Daphnia pulex: one gene and its partner. The protein of the gene in region 1 binds, or shares a complex with, the protein of each later gene. Links are inferred from orthologs where the notes say so. Each region holds a gene or a part of one and is shown on either strand. Other genes may lie near its edges.

Region 1 (4,208 bases):
TTAACTTAGCATTTTGTTCGGCATGGTGTCATTCACGCAAGTGATAAAACTACCTGACCAGAGCCGCTACATTTTGCAAAGGCAGGATCAAAATTTTCTGTTATTTCATCATTCCTGTACGAAAAAAGAAAACGACTGCGACATCGAATACTGGAAGGTTGTTCGTTTTTCTTCATAAGTTGTTATTATTCACGATTTTATTTATTTTCAATATTAAACTATTTTATTTCTATATTATTTTATTTTATTTTATTTTATTTTTTTTTTACTTTTTTTTACTAGTGCGCTGTTCGTTTCTGTAGTGTTAGAATCTGCAGTCGTGGTACTTCTTTCCAGTTGCTATCGGAACTTGAAAATCACCATCACAATTCGAACAGCGTCTCGTCTACTACCATAGCATTCCTCCTTGAAAGTCAGTCCTTTGTCGAAAAAACCCTCTACCCAAGTAAAATGCGATCACGTCCGATTTCCACGCCTATTCGCGACACATCATTATCGCTTCCAATAGAGGTTGAAAGTACGAATCATAACGGATCCGTTCTCAAACAGTTGCTACTAACAAGTAATTATTTAAAACTTTTGCCTTTATTTTGTGTTGATTTTAGTAATATTATGATATTAATTTAAAAAATTTTCCCGTTCTCCATGATTCGCCCATGAATTTTTTGAAATTATTAATATTTTTAATTATTTGATAAGGCAATGAAGACGTCATCAGATCATCCAAAAAAACTGTATCGAAGCAAAGTTCAATAATGAGCCGAACACCCTCATCGGTACAACAATCATCACCCGTTCAGCTAACGAACAAACGCAAACAAACAACAGAACCTCGTCGGCTTGCCGAATCCAACGTCCACGTTGCACGCCCGACAACCCCGAAGTGCGTGCGAGATTCAGATTACTGGAGCCCTCCTGTCCTCACACCTCCACCTGATGGAAGAGCCTATTCACCTCCGTCAACTCCAGTGGCACACATTGAACCTTATGTTGAGCCTCAAGTGATGTACAATCCTTACTTCTTATGGCAACTTTATTCCTATAAGCAATCTTGCAGTAACAGTTTCAAATCATTCTCTCACAATTATTGATTCAGGATAGTTGTTGTCATGGCTAACGATTTATTTGTTAACAGGCGTGTTTAAAGAACAAGTAACTTATTGCTGGTAAATTATGTTGCTGTAATAATATTTGATTGAATTTACAATTTAACCATACACACATAGATTTAGCCGTCAGTTGTTGTGTTTTATTTTCTAACATTATTTACCATATTTTCTACAGCTTCTTTTTTAGTTCAGAGTTAATTCTTAATTCATATTCCTGAAAATTACCGCTTTCAAATTTCGTTTTTGACGTAGCTACAATTTTTGTCGCTAGATGACCTTAACGATTGTTGATCAACAGATCAGCAGACGGCTGAACAGGGCAATCACGGCAACATCAGCTGCATATATTTGCGCTGCAGTAGTCTAGTCTTTCATCTCGTGACGATAGAAGAGGCTCGAATATCCTGTCAAGAGCTTCAAAATGAAAACTTTTAAACTGATTGCTCATCAGAAACATTTTAGTGGTGAGATATTTGTATGTCTTTATTCTGCGAATGATGATGCTTAGCCTACTTATATTCTCGTGATGTTTTGTAGAGGAAGAAATAATTTTGAGCTCAAAAGATTTCCCACACGTGAAAGTGAGAGATGTAGTAGAAATATACCACCCTGATGTTGTTGGCTCCAGAGTTCTACTTCAAGTACATTCTTTAAAAGAAGAAATGCAAACAAAAGGTAGGCCTATTATGTTTGTGATTTTTAATGAATACTATGTTTGAATGCTACTGGTTCATCTCTTAATTATAAAAATGTGTTAACATTTAGACACAATCAGCATTGAACAGTCAATAGTAAGTATGTTCCAACTTCAAATATTTTTTGGAGTCCATGTGACTGTGATGGATCCAGCCTCAGCTGCTCTAGATTCTGTAGAGTTAACCTTCAAGGATCAGTATCTAGGACGTAGTGACATGTGGAGGTTGAAAAATTGCCTTATTGGCTCTTGTTTGTACATTGGGAAGAAATTGGAGTTTTGCAACAAGTCAGTTCGATGTCAGGTGAGGAAGTGTAATCAGTAATGAGTATTAAATTTGTTTATTTGTAAATTGTTTGTTTTTCAAATAAGGTTCATGAAATGTGGGGACAAGGAGAAAGAGTGGCATGTGGTGTGATTACAGAGGATACAAAAATTGTATTTCGTTCATCAACAAGTCAGGTGTATCTCTTCTTACAAATGAGCTCAGAAATGTGGGATTTTGACATATACGGTGATCTGTATTTTGAAAAAGCTGTTAACGGCTTCTTATCGGAATTATTCGCCAAGTGGAAACGCCATGGATCTAATCATGAGGTGGCATCGGTTATGATAAATCTTTAGCATTAAATTCATTAAACCTCTAATCTCATTTCCAGGTCACAATTGTTTTATTTTCTCGAATATTTTACGAGACAGAATCTTTGGAATACTTCCCAGAAACTGTGCGAGCGTGCTTGCAGCAAGATTACCGTGGTATGTTCTATGAAGACTTTTACCGTGTAGCTGTTCAAAGCGAACGAATGGAAGACTGGGCGTGTGTGCTGCCGCAACTCAAATTACTCTTTCATAACTGGCAGAACTCTGTGTTGGGTTACCATCAACAAAACCACCCTGACATGAACATACCTAAAGTATTTTTCTTCATTATTTGTGAATCATGACAAGAGTTCTAACATTTTCCTTGTTTGTAAATAGGGTGTTAATTCATGTGCAGCCCAAGGAAACTTTCTCGAGGTGCTTAACATGTCTCTAAATGTTTTTGAGAAGCACTACTTGGATAGAAGCTTTGACCGCACTGGCCAGCTTTCCGTAGTCATCACACCTGGAGTTGGCGTCTTTGAAGTAGATCGAGAGTTGACAAACATTACGAAGCAAAGGATCATAGACAACGGTAAAAAATTTCAACTGTTTTTATTTTTTTTACTAAATACTTTCTTATCGAGCATGGTTTCAATTAAATATGTGTTACAAACAGGTGTGGGGAGTGATCTGGTTTGTGTTGGTGAACAGCCTTTACATGCAGTTCCCTTATTGCAATTTCACAATAAAAGACATAGCGCTGCCTCAAATGACTTTAGTATGCCTCATTGGATCAATCTCAGCTTCTATTCTTCCAGCAAGCGGATTGGTTATTCTACATTTCTTCCCCGCATTAAGATGGCTCCCATTTTAAATAAAGAGACAACTCTTCACAAGAGCAAAACTGCAGGTACAGTAATTCAAACACTATTATTGAATAAGAGTCGAAATTTTACTTTAATAAAACTTTATCGTTTGTATTTAGGATTACTCTCGTCTAAAACTAGCAGTTCCATTAAAGTTGAAAGTAGTTTACCGAACTCTGTCTTTGACTATGATGCCTATGACGCAAAAGTGTTTGCGCTTCCAGTAACCCGCACTAGCAAGGTATTTGAATACGTTATGTCTCTTGGGAAAATAATCGGATACAAATGTTCTGTTATGTGCAGGTTCAAACTTTGATGCGAGAAACTCGTCATCGCAAAACCACCGCTATATCCTCAGAGGTGAATCGGTTTGATCGGAGCCGAGGAAACGCTAGAAGATCTCGTCTTCATGATATGGACATTTCTTTTACCACGGGTCACCCTGGTATATGAAATTTTTCTAATTTCCATGTTAAATTCTGTAAAAACATAGGTGCAAATTTTTTATTTAATAGGTGATGGACTCAGCAGCTCATTGATCAGTGCGCCCACTATGCTCAGCTGTTCACTCACAAAATCACCCTCAGTTACCATTCCAAAAAGACCAGCTGTCGACGACAGTTTTATTGCGTCATGTGGTGCAACTGCACCTCATCCACGTGTTCGAAGACCTAGTGGGGGTGAGGAGCGATTAGAAGATCGCAGGTCCAACACTCTTAGAGCTGTAGTAGGCAGCGCTGGATCACCAAGCGCTCTCGGAAGCAACACAGTGACGATAGGCGCCAACCCGTCTACTGTTACTTTCGATCCCAGTACACGTCAAATCAAAACTGGACGTGCTTTAATTAATCCATTCGATCCGAGCAGAGTAACAATTAAGTTAACATCCAATCGAAGAAGATGGACACACATTTTCCCTAAAGGTATATTTGTGTTGCTTTGAATTAAATGAATGCT
Region 2 (3,955 bases), on another chromosome or scaffold:
GCTGTTTGGACATCACCGTCTTCGGCCATGTGATAAACCATCTCTACAGCGTTAGAAACGCCACTCCAGCAGGTCGTGCCGAGACTACTGGACGATCCAGGTAAACACAAAAGAGCCGACGTCGTGTCTTCTACCTCTACCATCTGAGCTTCAATACGAGTTCCAGCAAAGCAGCGACTGGGAAAGTGTTCCGGAGGTGGAGACCGATCTTTGATTTCGTGACGAAGCTGAAAGGCTTCACTAGGTAAAATCCAATCCATCTGATTCGACTGTTGCTGTTGTTGCTGCTGCTGCTGGTCAGTATCTCCACTAATTTTCCTGCCTTGCACAGAGTCTGAAGTTCCATTAAAGTCATTTAACACATCGGCTTCGGCATCCCCGAAGAAAAAATCGCTCGTATTAAAGTGAGAACCGCTCGCAATATGTGACAGCATGACCTAATCAAATGATAGAATTTATTTTTTAAATGCAACGACTGTCACCCATATATCCTTTTACCTGAGAATCAATGTCTTCCACCTCGGATTCGGCTTCTTCGCTGACACCTCCAGAAGTGTCCGAGACTCCGCGTTCGTTACTGTTGGACGTTGGGGCGCTATTACTGTTATTAGATCCACTTCCATTTACCAAAGTCTCAGACTGTTGTGTTGCCTGCTGATTGGGAAATGAGACATTTCCGGACTGGTGTCTCGTGCTGGGTCGAGTTGAAGCGTCTTTGATACCGGAATCACCTGGCTCTGATTCTTCTTTGCTGACGGTTGTCGGTCGATTGGAACCGACTGACGTCACCGCGGAAGTTGAAGTCAATTCCAAACCGGAAAAGCCAAAAAGAAGTTTGACAACTCGCCATATCGTGGCGATTTGAATCCGACCAGCGTTTGATGCCACGACTGCATTATGATCACAAATTTCACCCAAAGATTTTCCCGTCGTTGTCTGCAGCCAGTAATGTCGTGCGCAATCCCGAAACACTTGCGCAGGTGTGGGTTTCTCGTTCTCAAAAACGTAAATAGAACACCGGACGGCCGGATAGTCTTCAGACTCAGACTTAGATTTTCTGGGTCTAACAAAACAGTTTAACAAATTAAATAGTCTATTTTAATGGAAAATATAATTTAAAAAAAAAACTCACAGTGTCAGAATTTTACTCTTTTTGGAGTTCTTATCAACTGCTGCCAATGTCAAACTTCCTTTAGAATTATAAGTGACACAAATGGGATTGGCCTTTTCCATTGGCCTTTCAGCATCAGCAATAACGTGTTGGATGAGATAAGAGTCCTAAGTAAATTTTGATTAAACAAATCAGATAAGATTTTAAAAAATTAATTCAACATTTTCATATAACAGACTTTGCTAGTTGAAAGTAGAACGTCCGGAGAACCTCTCCAAGCAATACCAGTTGTGATGTCTTTATGATCGTTAAAAGAAGCGTGCGGGATATAAGGCCGACGAACGTCCCACACGTGGATCACACTGTCGATAACAAGTGCACAGCTGGCGATATGATGCATCCTTTGAGGGCGCCATTTAATACGGCCCACTGAAGCCATTGTTGTTACCGTGTATTCCAACACTGGTCGGTAACCCAAATCCCAAACCTATTAATGGTATAATGCTGAATCATTCGTTCGTCATCTGGCTGAGGAAAAAAATTAAAATATAAACGCGTAAAATTTCCAAAAACAGACCTTGACGGCTTTGTCTCTACCGGCTGTGGCGAGCCACGATTTGTTTTCAGGATGCCAATCGCAAGCGAAAACGGGTCCACTGTGTGCTGTAAACTGTTTCTCAGATCGGTCTTGGCGCCGGAGATCCCACAACTGAACGGTTCCGTTCTCTGACACAGCGGCGAAACTAAAACACTGGTATGGATTAAACTGCACATCTCGTACACTCTCTGCGTTGCTAAAATTTCGAGAATGCATACAATGTTAGTTAAATAGATCCAAGTTTTAATAACATTTCAGTTTGTTTTACCTGACAAATGTCATGACTGCAGCTTTCATTCTGATATCAAAATACTTCATAGTCCCATCCTGACTTCCTGAAAGTAACATGTTCTGTTCTGAGCCATGAAAAGTCACCTACATTCTCCCCCAATAAAAGCATTTTCAAACAAAATGAGGCAACTAAAAATTTAAGATAATACCTTGTTAACTGTCCTTTTATGATCATTATAAACTGTTTCCTGTTTGAGCTTAATAGATTTCTGAATGTTCCATAAGACAACAGCTCCATTAGTGGCAGCAGTGGCCAGCCATTGCTCTACACAAATTTAGTTAAATAGACATGTTAAATCATGTAACTTAAAATCAGTGAAGAAGTTTACCATCAACTGGATTCCAAGAGGCATCATTGCAAGAAAAATTTAGATTGGAATTCTTTCCTGTTCGGATATTGTCTCTTTCAACAAAACCTGTGTCTTTGATTTCACAAACCTTGAAAACTAAAATTTAAAATATGAAAATGTGAGCAGAACTAAATTTTCGATGTTTTAATATTATTAGCATTACCATTTCTGCCGGTAACAACAACTTTATTGCAGTCTCGATTGAGGGCAAGAGTATTAATCGGGCCCTCTTGCATCAATGTCATGTGATGCATCGCAATGATCACAACAGCCCTAGGTTTTCCCTGGGCAGCTTAAATAAGTATCAACGGATTTTGAAACTAAAGGAAATGATAAAGTTGGGGACAATACTCGATAGGACAAAGGGTATAGAATTCAAAGGAAATGATTCACACCAAAACATCAACAAAGACAATAATCTCACAGTCGTCTGCTGATTCACACAGTTGCAACATTTTACCATAACCAAAGCAACGAATTTTCCCTTGCGACGTTGCGAATTGCAAATTTGCGATTCCAATTAAAAGCACAAAAGCAGAATGAGAAAAGTTTTTTGTGTTGAAAAGTCGGCAAACATAGAATAAAAAAACGAAATGTATTTTGTTCGATTGGGAACACAAAATGGTGGAAGATCTAGCACTTGTAGCTATAAAATGTGAGTTTCTTTTTCAAATAATCCATTGGCAAATATGCGATGGAAGCAAAATGAGTTAGTTAATTTTTTGGTAGCAGTGAACAAAGCTATTTGGGTTAGAATGTATAAAAATGAAAATATCTTTGGATTGAGTTGCCTCGTGCTGAGATTCAGCCAAATCCATCAATTGATGAATAGATGGTAGATGCCGCTCTTCTTGACTAGTGCCTTCTTTTTTTTAAACTTAGTTTCCCAGTCATTTTGGGATTCCTATAGACTGAATAATAATTTCCCGGTAGACACGTAATTCAACCTTATTCAACCTTGCAAACTCTCGATGATGCACTCGCAAACGTACTGGAACTGAATCTAGAAATAATAATTTTTATAACAACAAAATATGATAGTAAGCTTTAAACGGGAAGACATTATTTACTGAAGTTTGCAGCATCATAGGTCTCTGATCCCGCATCATCTTTATCAAATGGATAGGATTGATGGGGCAATCGGTTTCCATGAGCCGTAAAACAGAATCTAGCAGGATAAACGCTCCCGTACGTCCGATTCCGGCCGAACAGTGTACCAACACCACGTTCTCTTCTTCATTATTGCCAAGTTTCTGAATGTGACGGACGTATTCTAGAAATTGAGAAGCTAAAACGGGAGCCTAATAAAATAATTGATGTTATTAATAGTTATTAAATTATTAATAGTATAAATTGATAGTTGATGAATTAAATACCCCGTGATCAGGCCATTCCAGATACTGACAATGCGAGATGGCTCGCATTTCTCCCGTCTGCTCATCGGCTACAAGGAATTCACGGTGAATAAACGGACCCAAATGGTCCAGCTTTGCTTGGCAATTAATTACCAATGATCCCACTCGAACGATTTCATCCACTTCTGGCCAATAACTTTGAAAAGAAAACTTCTTTTAGAAACAAGTTATAATTATAATGATAGAGAAT

The links.
Region 2: GATOR complex protein Iml1-like (region 1) and GATOR complex protein WDR24-like share a complex: the UniProt entries of both Drosophila melanogaster proteins name them as parts of the GATOR complex. The link is inferred for Daphnia pulex from reciprocal best matches to the Drosophila melanogaster genes Iml1 and Wdr24.

The regions. Positions count from the first base shown.
Region 1 is NC_060021.1:10,273,209-10,277,416, forward strand, and holds the start of GATOR complex protein Iml1-like, read left to right. Parts: upstream 1-1,408; 5' UTR 1,409-1,530; coding exon 1,531-1,573; intron 1,574-1,646; coding exon 1,647-1,784; intron 1,785-1,874; coding exon 1,875-2,107; intron 2,108-2,175; coding exon 2,176-2,400; intron 2,401-2,462; coding exon 2,463-2,717; intron 2,718-2,781; coding exon 2,782-2,977; intron 2,978-3,061; coding exon 3,062-3,295; intron 3,296-3,370; coding exon 3,371-3,492; intron 3,493-3,554; coding exon 3,555-3,696; intron 3,697-3,766; coding exon 3,767-4,174; intron 4,175-4,208. Other genes in the region: uncharacterized protein LOC124194533, read left to right, coding at 23-157, 283-562, 700-1,091. UniProt on the Drosophila melanogaster protein: An essential component of the GATOR subcomplex GATOR1 which functions as an inhibitor of the amino acid-sensing branch of the TORC1 signaling pathway.
Region 2 is NC_060022.1:5,701,308-5,705,262, forward strand, and holds the start of GATOR complex protein WDR24-like, read right to left. Parts: upstream 2,801-3,955; 5' UTR 2,605-2,800; coding exon 2,514-2,604; intron 2,447-2,513; coding exon 2,330-2,446; intron 2,266-2,329; coding exon 2,150-2,265; intron 2,085-2,149; coding exon 1,978-2,084; intron 1,906-1,977; coding exon 1,689-1,905; intron 1,599-1,688; coding exon 1,350-1,598; intron 1,279-1,349; coding exon 1,133-1,278; intron 1,064-1,132; coding exon 499-1,063; intron 438-498; coding exon 1-437. Other genes in the region: tyrosine-protein phosphatase non-receptor type 4-like, read right to left, coding at 3,303-3,353, 3,421-3,651, 3,727-3,901. UniProt on the Drosophila melanogaster protein: An essential component of the GATOR subcomplex GATOR2 which functions as an activator of the amino acid-sensing branch of the mTORC1 signaling pathway.